Linked DNA regions of Mus musculus: region 2 is reported to be linked to region 1. The links are microRNA targets in miRTarBase. Many come from high-throughput screens and were not tested one by one. Region 1 holds a microRNA gene; the other region holds the end of a gene's coding sequence.
What was found. Region 1 holds the annotated microRNA mmu-miR-5123 (UGUAGAUCCAUAUGCCAUGGUGUG, at 1,820-1,843, shown strand). A microRNA usually pairs through its seed, bases 2 to 8, with sites in the 3' UTR of a target mRNA and lowers its output. Matches are read on the target gene's strand: a 7mer-m8 pairs with bases 2 to 8, a 7mer-A1 pairs with bases 2 to 7 and ends in A, and an 8mer does both.

Region 2: the mRNA of Lcorl is a reported target of mmu-miR-5123. Seed matches in the 3' UTR shown: 7mer-A1 at 744-750.

Annotation. Positions count from the first base shown.
Region 1 is chr4:40,844,944-40,851,943 of GRCm38, reverse strand. Mir5123 (microRNA 5123) reads left to right here and starts at 1,806; the gene lies at 1,806-1,888. All of the region lies in intron 1 of B4galt1 (UDP-Gal:betaGlcNAc beta 1,4- galactosyltransferase, polypeptide 1), which reads left to right.
Region 2 is chr5:45,726,949-45,734,080 of GRCm38, reverse strand. It overlaps Lcorl (ligand dependent nuclear receptor corepressor-like), which reads left to right. Exons shown (of 7, transcript NM_001163073.1): 7 at 1-3,749. The coding sequence ends at 625. Gm3414 (predicted gene 3414) reads left to right here and starts at 6,503. Exons shown (of 1, transcript NR_027993.1): 1 at 6,503-7,132.

The sequences.
Region 1 (7,000 bases):
AAAGACAAATTAATTAGTTAAGTACCCCAGAGCCATGGACATAGCTCAGATGGTGGAAGGCTTGTCTGGCCTGCCCAAAGCCTTGATTATAAAACTGAGCAAACATCAGATCCTATCTCAAAGAGAAAACCAGGTTTATAGTTGTTCAGAGTATAGGTTCTTCCTGCTGAAATATGAGGGACTGTGGTAACTATAGTTCTGTTCAGTTTGGTTTGGTAATGTGGGTTGCTCAATTCATCCTGAAATAGACAGCTCAAAAGGACCTTACTGAGAGAGATCACTTTAGACTGTGGAGTCCAGAGGCCTAGGCCTCTTCTGGCCTGGCTACCTTCATGTGACTTGCATGGGACTGATGTCTAGGTTTCTGCTGAGACCACAATCGCAGAAACAAGGGTAGGAGGTTAGGTTTTGTTTTGTTTTTATTAATTTGAGCCCTTAGATTTGAATGCTTAGGTGCAGCTTTTGGGGGGCGGTTCTTGGTCAGAAGGAATCTTAAGAAAACTTTTAAGTGTATTTGGGACTCTGTGTGTGTGTGTGTGTGTGTGTGTGTGTGTGTGTGTGTGTGTAGTGTCAAGCCCATCTGTTCCACTGGGCAGGTGTCAGCCAAAGCCCTTGACCGTGGTTTTGAGGTTGGTGGGAGAAAGCACCCCTAGGGGGTTAGCACGGTGGCCTTTTTACTACTCACAGTTCCTTTCCCCAACTTTCCTCTGCTTTCTGGTGTCCAGCAGTCTAAGCCAGATGCTTGGATCTTTTTCAGTTGATAGCTGGTGACTTTGAGGTGGTAAGGGACCAGACCCGGCTGCTGATAGGTTGCTGTTAGATCTGCTTTTGGGTTTGTCAGAATATTTGAATGGACTTTAGATAGACTGAGGTTGGAATTGTGCTTAGGCAATATATGTGTAACCGGGGCAAACTGTATTGTTTGCAGTCCTAGTGATGGTGGGCACTCCTCTCATCTGTAGGGCTAGTGTGAGCCTCTGTCTGTCTGTCTGTCCCATCCTTCCTTACTCCACTGTGGGCTACAGGGGTTAGCTGGCCGTGCCTGATAAGTCTTCTATTTGCCCAGAGAACTCTAGTTACTTCAGGCATTTTCTTTAGCCCTGTGACAGGCCTCCAGGTAACTGTCACTGTGTACTCTACTGGCTGTAGCAGTGAGCCGGCCTTTCTGGCCCTCTGAATGTTTGCCCGGGCTGAGAGGAGGCATGGCCTTGTGGTTCTTTCCCGGAATGTTTATCTTTTTCCAGAAGGTTTTATCTGCTCATATTTGGCACAGCTTGACAAAATTTGACTGGCTGTGGCACAGGCATTTTGGGTGTGGTGTTAGTGGAAAGGGGGACAGCACGTCAGGCTGGATTGATTTGGGGAAGCAGGACTGGCTGATTCAGCCGGGGGTCTGGGACAGATGGTACAGATCTTTCAAGGGGGCAGTGGACACTGGACAACTTAAACCTCAGAGGCCCCTTTTGACCAACTGTGCTTTAAGGAGATACCCTTCATTTGTTCAAAGGGAAGATGTGTGTGTGTGTGTGTGTGTGTAGACCCATATGCCATGGTGTGTAGACCCACATGCCATGGTGTGTAGACCCATATGCCATGGTGTGTAGACCCATATGCCACGGTGTGTAGACCCACATGCCACGGTGTGTAGACCCACATGCCACGGTGTGTAGACCCACATGCCACGGTGTGTAGACCCACATGCCACGGTGTGTAGACCCATATGCCACGGTGTGTAGACCCATATGCCATGGTGTGTAGACCCATATGCCATGGTGTGTAGACTCATATGCCATGGTGTGTAGACCCATATGCCATGGTGTGTAGATCCATATGCCATGGTGTGTAGACCCATATGCCATGGTGTGTAGATCCATATGCCATGGTGTGTAGACCCATATGCCATGGTGTGTAGACCCATATGCCATGGTGTGAATGTGGAGCTCAGAGGTTTCAGGGACAGGACTCACACTGTCAGGCTTGGTGGCAAGCACCTTTTACCTGCTGAGCCATCTTGCTGGCCCAGGATTCTTATCTAGAAGCAAACAGCCCAGTTAGAGTAGAGCCCTGTTCATGAGCCCAACTCCCTGGCTTTTGGGGGCTACTTTTAGCTGAGCCTCTGCCATGGAATGTGATGGTGAAGATGAAATACTTACTACGTCTCTGCTGGGCTCTTGGCTCTCAGGCATTCCTCTTTATCATGCTGCCACCTTCACCCATTTGTGCATGTGCAGACACAGGCAGGCTGATTAGAACAGTCTGTACTGTGAGGCTCGGAAGAGGGCTGTCCTGGACCTACCCATTCTGAGATGGCTCTTGGGACTCTAGCACCCTCTGCTTTAGGGTGGAATCTCATCCTGGGTTTTAGAGGAGGCACAGAGATCCTCTCTTGGACGCAGATCTTGCAGCTTTGACTTTGGGTAACAAGCCAGTTTGTCTTGCTGCTTTTCTCTGGAGGCAATAATTTATTGATTACACACAGATCCTACTGTCTTTTATCTTACAGTCATATTGGACATACCCTTTCCTACCCGGAGCAGAGATGTACATTCCAGTAAAACCATTACAAGGTCTCAGCTCTTCCCAACTCAGTCAGTCAGGTGGCCGTAATACGGAAACCTGTTTGCCAAGGTCATTGAGAAATACCCTCCATGACAGTCTGGGTCTTTTTCATGGTGAAACCTGTTAATTTCTTCCAAATAGCATTATGGCAGGATAAGAGTGATCCCTGACAGTTATTTATTCTACACTTTTTAGGGGTGTGACTAAGTGGTTGCATATACAAGGCCTTGGGCTTAATCCAGCACCAGGGAGAAATATCCCAGGTTCTGAACAAGTGTGGGAACCCCCTGTGGCAGAAGAACAGGTAGACAGTCCTTGGGACATGGAAAATAAGAGCCAAATGTGGGATTGGCTTTAAACTCTAGTTTCTTGGCTTAGCATCCCTGAAGAGGAGTCTGGTATTTTTGCCTCAGGTTAATGTCCAAAGAGACTAGTTCAGAGGACCAGGAATTGTCATGATATATTCTAGAGATTGGAAAGAAGATCCTTCTAAGTTATGCTTTCGTATCCCTTCCTCTGATAGGTCTTATACGGATGTCTGGACGACTGCGGTAACATCATTCATTTACAGTGTGTGCTGTGTGGAGCTAGAACTATAAAGAAAACAAAATGTCTTCCTTGTAGCAATTTTCAGTTTAAGCAAGAGAGACTTAATTATTGTGCTAATGTCTCTGAACACCCCACGTGTGTGTGTGTGTGTGTGTGTGTGTGTGTGTGTGTGTGCTGCACACACTCAAGAGATCCCATGTTCCTTTCTCTAATATTATATCCTACCTTCCTTTCATTCAGAAAGAAACTCAGGCTTGATGTCACAGTTCTTCCGTCCTGGTTTTATTTGATTGTGTGAAAATTTTCCTTTTCTTTCCGAAGCCATACATTAGCTGTGCTGGGTAATCTTAACTTGCTGCGCTATAATGATTATAATGAGATATCGCCCGCCATCTGCCTGGGTATTATGGTCTTTGAGTGGCAGCAGGGTAGGGATTTCCAGGCTAATTTAGGGGTTGAGGATGATGGGGCAGTTGATGCCAAGTCGCTCGGAGCCCTCCCATAGATTCTGCCCTGGGACCGTTCAGACACTGGATCACCTTGGGCTCAGTGGGCTAAGGGTCCCTGTGAAAGCAACCTAGCTATTATTTTTGGTCAAACCTGGTGATTCCTTCATGTCTCAGTTATTTATGGCCTCTGTTCTTTGTCCCCTGTTTGTTCCTGCCAAAGGAGACTGGAAATCTGCTTGAGTTAATGTCCATTTGAAATTTGCATGGTTTATGATGCAGTGGCGTGGTAAGTTTTTTATAAGAAAAAAAAATCAGTGTGTGTGTATGTCTGTAGGCATGTTGGCCATGGTCGTCTTATGGAGGTCACTGGACAATTTCAGGCATTAGTAGTCCTTGCCTTCCACCTTGTTTGAATCAGAATTTCTTGTCTGCTGCTGCATACACCAGCGGAACCTGCCCCATGAGCTGTTCAGAATTCTCCTGTCTTCACCTCCCTATCTCCCTATTAAGAGCACTGGGAATATAGACATACTATGGTCTGGCTTTTACATGGGGATTCAAATTCAGGGTCTCATGATTTCACAGCAAGAACTTCACCCACTGGACCATCTCCTCAGCTCTGGACTGGTCTTAAGACAAACAGACTTCCCTTTTGGTCCTAACCCTTTGAGACTTTGGCAGTGTGATGAGTTTACATTTGATCCTGCCATACATGATGTGTTCCCTGAGCCAGTGGCCAGTCCCTGCAACGTTGCTCGGTTTGAACTTCATGATCTTCATAGAGCTAGCCTTCCTGTTTCTAAACAGGGCAAAGTCTCCTGAAAGCTGACTGTAGCTGTGGCTGAAAAGACCTTGGTTGTGACCCCTTGTGTGTCTGGGACTGTGCAGGGTGAGGTGAGGGAGCCTTTGCCCCAGGAGAGAGCTCTCTAAAGCCTGTTTGGAAAGCTCTCTAGGTTAGAGGCCTGTAGTGGTTTGGCCTGAGGTAGTTCTGGGTGAATGTGACCTAAAGGGATCGGTCACTAGAAGACAGAGAGGGGTGAGTCACGTGCTAAGGTTCAGGTTCTGTTTCAGCTTGGCTTCCTTATACAAATGAGGGCCAGGGGCTGTATCTTTTATTGGGTGTTGTTGAATTCTGTGGCAGTGATTTTAAGTACGTTCTGGGTCTATTGCGTAACTGTAATGATTTGCCTCTTAGGTATTAGGACAAAGGCTATGGGTTTTGTATTTGCCTTTTTCTTTGTGAGGGTGTTAGTAATCTTAATTTTTGTGGAAAGTAATATGGAATGGGAGGGTATAACTCAGTGTAGAACACTTGTAGGTAAGTCCTAGGTTTGGTGATCTTCAACTCTGAAAACATGCAAATGAAAGCCACATTCTTTTCACCTAAGATAAGCCTGCCCTCCCGTTTTCTACTCGTCTTCCCTTCTTGTATGTTTAAGAAAAGAATACAGCTGATAACTTGTTCCTGGGTTGTTTTATTTTATTTTATCTGGCAGTGTCTTGCAAGGTAGCCTAGGCTTTTAGCTCCTGCCTCTCCGTACTCCGTGTACTGGCTAGTTTTTATGTCATTTGACACATACTTGAGTCATCGGGAAGAGGAAACTGCATGTAAGAAAATGCTCCCACTAGATTAGCCGGTGAGTAAGCTTGCGATGCATTTTCTTGATGATTGATATGTGTGGGAGGGCCCAGTCCATTGTGGGTGTGTGTGGTACCACCCCCTGGACAGGTTGTCCTGGGTGCTATAAGAAAGCTGCCAAGCAAGCCATGAAGGAGGAACAAGCCAGTAGGCAGCCTCTCTCCATGGCTTCTGCTTCACTTCTAAGATGAAATTAGCCCTTTCTTCCCCAGGTTGCTTTTGGTCATGGCCTTTATCAAGCTATAGGAATCCTAACTAAGACACCCAGCATGGCTGATGTCTTAACCAGAGGAATGGACTGATCTGAGTTCATGCAGTAGCCTGGTGATTATCCTTTTTCATTTAAGGTTCTCTTACAATCTGGGTCCTGCATCTTTAAAAAAAGAAAACCACAGAGGTGAGATAGGGCTATCATTCAGTGGAAGGGTGATTGCTAGTAGGTGTGAGGCCCCAACACTTTGAGAAAATTAATAAATAAAACTAACCAATAAATCTCAAGAGCGGTATCCTCTTGGTCAACAGCAAATGCCATAACTTTCTTATCACTCGACTGTTAGACACATAGATGTGGTTTTTGTTTTCCTGGTGGTGTAATGAGCCTTGGGCATAGAGTTGTACGTGTGTGTGTGTGTGTGTGTGTGTGTGTGTGTGTGTGGTATCTGTAGAACATTTTCCAAAAGAGAAAAAGAAAAGAGTGAATTCTTTTTGAGAAGCATTAGGTGTCAAGCCTTCGTACAAAGGGTTAAGTGCATTGGGAAATTACAGGTTTGCATGGTGCTGTCAAATGAATATCACTTATGTAGAATGATACGTCTAGAATTCTAATCAAAAGGAGAATAGGTTGAAGAAGCGCCTGGGTGGGGCCAGAGTACAGCCCCAAGCAGACCTTTAGATCTGTCTGAGGAGGGATCTGCTGTAAATAAAACCCCGTGGAGATGGTGCTTCCTCAGTCAACTTTCTCTAGTTGTTTCCTTAGCTGTCGAATCGCTGGATAGGTTTATATAGCCTAATATGGCTCCAGAGCTGAGTGCTGGGTACTCACCAGTGGGCTAACCCAGTGCTACTGACATCATCGAGATGTGACACAGACCTCTGTGGGAAACGAGCCAGCAAATCAGATTCTGAAACACGTGACATTCTTTCTCTACTACCACAAGTTCCTGAGTTCCAGGGAGGGGCTCTGGAGTGAGAATCTTACGTTTCCGGGAATTCTCTTAAGGGAAAAGCCCAGGAGAGCAACAGAGGCTGGCTTTCTATGCGGACTTGGGGGATTATGTCAATAAGGCCTCTGGCTGCTTGTTGCCTGGCTGTTCCCAAGGAGTGTATTTTGAAGTTACTCCATTTTGAATGTCATCAGCAGAGCTAGATTCTCGTCTGAGGGAATGTTGGGTGTGGAGAATCTGCTGGGGTCATTTGGCGCCGAGTCTTGGAAGTTAGAGCAAGGTTGCATTAAAGGGAAGGGACAGGATTCTGCTGGACCAGCTTGACTCATGCAATGTCAGGGTCAGGCTCCTTCCTGCCTTTCCATATGTGCCTGGAGGGGCCTGGCTGGGGCTTCAGTGAATGCTTGGCCCAATGACAGAGTTCATTCTAAAAAACGTCTGTAACATTTTCTTTAAAAGTTCCTTCCTGTTTTGCATAATGTCCTCTTGCCTTTGACATCCTGAAACCACAGAGCTGCTGTTGGTGTGACAGAACAAGCAAGACAGACTTTTTTGTGTGGAAAAAAAGAAAGACTAGACTTCTAAGGGAGACTCAAAGAAGCTGACATTTGTGTTAGACAAGCATGGCGACATGGCCTGGA
Region 2 (7,132 bases), not on the chromosome of region 1:
TAAAGAAAAAAATGAAAGCCTTCAATATGAAACTTCAAATCCTCCTGTACAGTTAAAAATTCCTCAGCTACGAGTAAATTCGGTTTCAAAATCACAAGCTGATGGTTCTGGTCTGCTGGATGTCATGTATCAAGTTTCCAAAACCTCTTCAGTCCTTGAAGGATCAGCTCTCCAAAAACTGAAAAATATACTCCCTAAACAGAACAAACTAGACTGTTCTGGGCCTGTAACTCACTCAAGTGTTGACTCTTACTTTCTACATGGGGACCTCTCTCCTTTGTGTCTTAATTCTAAAAATGGAACAGTTGATGGAACCTCTGAGAACACTGAAGATGGACTGGACCGGAAAGATAATAAGCAGCCCAGGAAAAAACGTGGCCGCTATCGACAGTATGATCATGAAATAATGGAAGAGGCCATTGCAATGGTAATGAGTGGGAAAATGAGTGTTTCCAAAGCACAAGGAATCTATGGGGTACCTCACAGCACTTTAGAATACAAGGTAAAGGAAAGATCTGGAACACTGAAGACTCCTCCGAAGAAGAAACTACGATTACCAGACACTGGGTTATATATGACAGATTCAGGGACTGGCAGCTGCAGAAACAGCAGCAAGCCTGTGTAGATTACTGTTAGAGAACATGTGCGAGACTGTGTGTGTGTGTGTGTGTGAGAGTGTGTGTGCGCGCGTGTGCGTGCAGGAATGTATGTGTACAGGGGTATGTGAGTCTTTGTGTGTGTGTATCTACATACACATGTGGAAATTACAAATGCTCACTCTGACAGGAGACATGAAATTTTACAGTTCAAAAACCACTTACATGCCTTTTGAAAAAGTTTTATTCAGGGTTTTCACTGTGGACAGAATTATAGAGTTGCTTATTAATTCTGATAGTTTGTATTTAATCCTTGTATAAATAGGTGAAAAAGATTCAGGTTTTCTTTAGTAGTCAATAGCATAAATGTGGGGAAACAAGTAACCGTCAAGTGAGACATTTTTTTATTGGTAAAAAGATTGTAGCCATTCAGTTGAACCATCTCATAATGGAAACATGATATTAATAGTTTGTGAACACTTTTATGTAACATACCTACAATGATTGTGAGTATGTCAAAGAACCAATCAAAGTTAAATAGTTACCTCTGTACCAAGAGTAACTAATAGATACAGTATTAATACACTACAGTGCATTCTTTGAAATACAGAATGCACTAAAGTGCATCCGCCAGGATAGAAGAGAAAACCTTAAAGGATATGTATAGTAAAATTTAATATTTATCATTTAATTGTTGAGTTAGCAGGAAGTTGGGGTTATTACGTATATAATTTAAATTTTAAAAAAGCTGACATAGTTAATTAACCCCAGAAGCTATAGAATCCTTTAATATAAGATGGAATACTAAAAGCAAAAAGTAATTTAAATTTAATTATTAAAGTAACTTAATTTTGTTTTTCATTTGAAAACTAAGCTAATGTGTAAGGTTAGGAAAGAAGTTGGAATGCCACTTAGAGCATGTTTATAATGTGCGCAGGACAAGCTTGAGAATGGTCATTGTGGTTAATGTGCTGGTTAGTTGACGTTATGACTACTTTAAGGATTGTGACACACTCCTACTGAAAAACCTCAGTGTAACTTTAATATATTTGCTGCTGTGACATTTCAAAACATTTTCAGTTTATCAAGATGAATTACAGATTTCATTTTGGTGGGTGATACATTATCATTTTGCTAATAACCAAACTTGCAGTTTGTTCAGGGTCTTGAATAGATTTACAGATATTTAACACTGACGCTGTTTTGAATTTTCAGTAATGTAAACTCTTTACTACTTGGATATTTAGAAGCTGGGCAGTGCATTTTAACTTTTACTAGACTCATATGAAACCAGTGATTTTTATAAAACAGTTTTAAAAATATGGGTCAGAGTATTCATGTGGGTTTATGAAGTATGCAGTTTTGGTAGTAGAAATGTAATAAAGCATGTACCTCCGTGTAAAGACAGGAGATCTGCTTTATAGATGAGACTCCTCCTCTATGCCCTTTTCTCTGTTAGAATTCAGGTTCTGGTCATGTTCCTAAGCCACTTTTTATAAATCCAAAAGGAATTCTTACAGCTGAATTTAAATATAAGTGCACCTTGTCAAATACTTGTGTTGCTACACTTGTGTTTGTGTGTATTTAGTAATCACATGAACTTGTGATTGTTCAGCTACTAAACTTTAAAACTGCTTGCATGTATTTAAAGAAACTGAAGAATGAGAAAATATATGACCAGGTAATCGCTTGGTCTCTCAGATCTGTACTGAACATTTTCAGCTGTTAACATTACCTGCATACTGGGGTATGAATCCTCTTTATCTTTTTCTTCCCCCAAGAAAATATACTTAATAGATTACAAGACAGCATTTGTCAGGGTCATCTTTCTTTTTAAAGAATTAAGCCATATTTTGTGAGGACCGGAACATGGATTATTTATTATATTTCCCCCTCCTCCCATTGAAAAACAAAGTTAAAAAGTAAATGCTTCAAAAAACAATTTTCTTGACCTCTTTATACAGAATTTTACTTGCAAAACTTTGGGAGCTCGAATGCATTACATAATATTTATATTGTATTGAGCTTTTTTATTCCTCACACTATATTTACATTGATAAATTGATTGAGAAGTTTATAGTAAAGGGAAACTTACAGAACACTTTTCTATCATTTAAAAGATGACCTGACCAAAAACTTTACAGCATTCATAAATCAGGGATCATTTTGCTATTGACTTCACAGTGACCAGTAGTTTTATAGGTAATATTAAAGTTAATTTGCAGCATTTTAGTACTTATTATTTATTTTTGGTCAAATAGTAAATTAAAATATTTTTTGATAGTTTATAGGTAATGATCCACCCATAACTTTTAAAAGAAACATAACGTTTGTATTACTGAGTTGACTTTTTAATTATACAAACTAGGAAAGGCAGGGAAGTTTATGGGTTCCCCTCTCCCCACTGGTTCTATTAAAACGTGCTTTATGTTAAACTTTCAAAATCCTTTAAAAATTTAATTACCAGTTACTACTTAATTGACAGTTTCTGAAAAATCCAATTTCAGCTGACTTTTAATGAATATGAAAGCAACCCTTATGCGCTTTCTACTTATTTGAATGTTCCTCAAGTATTTTATATTTAAAATAAAAAAAGAAGGAAAAGAAAAAAACAGTGCCTCTGTTTTTAGAAAACTACTGCTCAGTAAAGTTGTTTAAACCATTTCTGATAGCTGATGACAATTTTATATTAAACTGTATACTGACTTTAGTGAAACTGATTTCTTTTTTAGTTGTTTACAGTGCAGATACTTGTGGGTTTTTTTTTTAATTGCAGTATTTCCATTGTCGCAGTAATTTAGTAAAACTCTGTGGCTGCCTTGATTTTGACAGATTTTGTTAATATAAACTGATTGTTAGGCAATTAGTTATATTTATGCATAAATCAATTGCACTATAATTCATGAATTATTTATTACAATATTTTCTAATGAATTCATGTATCTGTCTTGTGTTGTACATGTACTGTAATTTTGTTCCTACTTTGTGTTGTTATATATCTAAATCTGATTGTATGAATTTTAATTGTTCAGTTAACGTGTTTCTAGGTTGTAATTTGTAGTAAAGCACTTCAATGCTTTTGCACTTAAATTTACAACACTGTCGGTGTGTGGTTAATTTACTCATTCAGTAAAGGAAAAGAAAAGTAAACTTGACTATACTGAGTTCTTTGAGTCCTTATGAGGAGGGTTTTTTTGTTTTGTTTTTTTGGTTTTGGTTTTGGTTTGTTTGGTTTAGTTTTAAATAGTGTTAGAATTTGACTTTTCCCAAGAAACATTCCACAACAAATTTCTAAGAAAAAGGCAGAATAGAAACAAAAATGAGATGTTTGGGATTATAAACAAACAGGAAGAATTAGAAAGAATTGATCTAAGAAGAGACATTACAGCCAGGTAGACTAAGGTGGCCTTTAATTAACCTCAGCATTTACGAGGTAGAGGCAGGTGGGTCTCTGTGAGTTCTATCTAGGCCAGCTTAGTCTACATGGGGAATTCCAGGCCACCCAAAGCTACATTGTGAGACTGTCTCAAAATTATAGTTTTAGCATCTTTATATAATTACTAGAGAATAAATTGTGAATTGGAGACTCACACATGTTTCTGTTCACTCACTATGATTCCCTTTGAGACTATGATGGAAAAATGAGGGAGAAAAATTTTTTATATTTTGTAACTAATTTAGTATAAGGTCAACTCTTATACCTGAAAATCTGATATATTAATCTATTGTTCATATTATCAGCAACCACTAGTATTTTTAAATTTCCAGTATTAAAACTAGCAAACTGAATAAGGAAAGTCTTCCTTTTAAACAATGGTGTCCTTAGAATGTCAGAAAAGGTAGATAGAAGTCAGTGACATTCATAATTTTATAAGATTAATCAAAGTGAAATAACATGTTTATATTACTAAACAAGTGCTGCTTTTTATCATTTTGACGGGGCTTGCTCATTTTTATATTGAGACTTGCACCCTGGGCTTTGGCCATGATAATAAGCATACTCTCCCAGCTGTGCAAATCATTTCATTAGCGGGAAAAGGCCTTGGAGCGTCTTAGAAACTGCTAAAACAGATTACTAATCTTTGAAATATAGTATAACATTGTAACAACTCGTAAGCTCTCCCCTTTATTACTAGTTATAAATATGCTGAACCTTACTTCAGAGACTGTCTGAACTATACTCCTCAGGGGATGTTTGCTTTGCTCTTGGTTATCGAAAGTCATAAACTTGAGTCGCTGGAAAATGATATAATTAATATTTGGTAGCTATCATTTGATGTTACCTTTGCTTTACATTTTTGAAATAACTTTTGACATTGAATCTTGAGTTCCTTACATCATTTTACACTCTACCATTACAAAATTAATTTTAAAAAATATTTACTGAAGAATACTAGACTTACACCTTTTGTCTAGTGACAGCACTGAACTTAGAGTTTTGTTTACTTTGGTTTATTTTTGCTTTGTGTGATTCTTTTTGTCAAATTGTGTGTTAGTCTTACTAAAACATTTGTTAAATCTGATAGTTACTTTTCTCCGTGATGTTTTGATCACATACTCAGAACTTGTTTTGGTATTTTTATTACTCAGACCGCATAATTTTGTACAACTCAATAAATTATTGTATCTGTAGATTCCAATGTCAGGGAACAATTATAAAAGTACTGATTTCACTGCTTATTTTAAAAGAAAATCCTTTAAATTTTAATACCATGAACATACTAACCCTTATTTTTAAAAAGTACATTCTTCTCTTGGATCAGTTTTGTAAGTAATATATCCCAATTCTTACCCTAAATAACATTTTTGCCAACTAGGAGCAAATGACAGGCACATGGAATTAGGTGAGGAAGGCTATTCCCACTACAGAGTTTGGTGATGTTTTATTAAAATGGATACTTTTCTGAAACAGAATTCCTTTAATATATTTTATTCTTCTTGCTACTGGTATTGAATTTAAAAATATGAGCTTCTATATTGTTGACTAGCAAACATGGGTCTTAGTTAAAGCTAGATGTGTATTAGCTTCTGTGGTGGGGCATTTTTCAGCACTTGAAATTTAGTATTTAGGTAAGTAATACCTTTAGTTTTCCTGTGCTTTTCCAAGGCTTTTAAAACCAGCTAAAAGTAGGTTTAATTTTTCAAAAGCTTCCTTTTATCTTTTATATTCTTACTAGGTTAAAATGCCTTCAGCTTAATCTCAGAAAAACATACTCTCTTATTTATATGGAACCTAAATTTGATAAGTTTCTTCATGATTATGTAAACTTTTCTTTTAATATTAAATTTTCTTTTACTACCTAGCAAAGGATTTTAAATAAAAATAAGATTTCACTCCTTATCTCCTTATTTGAATTAACAAGGACTGATCATATAAAATATGGCTAAGTGTCCTACTTTACAAAAACTTTTATTTCTTCTGAAGCATTTTTCATTAAAGGTTATTAATAGTATTTCCAGAGTTGTTAATATTGCCAGCGTGTTGATGTAATAATATGTGATCATCTGCTTTTGTATTGTGAAAGCCTTTGCTTTGACTCCTGTGCTTTGTCATAGGAAATTATTTACCAGTGCTTCATTCTGTTTCTGCTAAAAAAATAACCAAGATGTCCTTGCAGTTCCATCTATAGGAGTCAGGAGTCCAGCAATATCAAAATACATCATTCAGATGCTGTCAAGAATTATAACTCCTTATGATATTTTTTGCTGTAATTCATTTTTTTGTTTGATTTTTATTTTTAGTTCAACTGTTGATGCAAAATCAGAGGAAGCTACTAAAATGGAAAAAGGAAAATCAGCATTAAGCAAAGTTTTGGAATCTTTGTGCATACATCACCATCAACAAGTTTTGGCTATGTTGAAATTTCTAGTCCAAGAGCAGAATGCTGCTTCTCTTTGCTGTTGTAATTCATCATGTGCTATGTCTTCAGAATCTCAAAAGCCCCTATTGGAGGATGGTTTTCATGGTCTGTTCTGTAGCTGTGAATATAGACTGGCAGAAAGAGGGTGTTTACAGAATGAGAGACAAAGCCCTGGTCTAGTGCCTCTGCCAGTCTGTATTAAAGAAATACAGTGTTTGTCTTGTCAAACTGTAACTGTTGAACACATTAAGACAGTAATGAATCGAGGAATTGAAAACAGTTCTAATCCACACAGGTGCTGTTGTGGACAATTAGCAAAGACTCAGTCTACAAAACCAGCCTGTCACAGTCCTCCTTTGTCACGGGAAGTTTGTGATCTTTCAGTCACTCTTCAAAATACCTGTAGATCTCGAAGTCCCTCGCCCCCACCATTATCACCTGTGGAGACTGGAGGATTGGAAAAATGGAAAGACATCGTCTCAGAGCTTTCAGCTGTAGAAAATAACAAACTTGAGGCAAGCATTAACCAGCCTCCATCTCTTACACCTGCAGAGATAAGCACTCACAAATGTGGCCATGACAGCAAACTACATAAAACTAAGAAGTCTGGTAACACTGATTCTGTGCTCTTGGGGACCAGTGGTAGTTATACTGCAAATCATGAAAAGGGTGAGA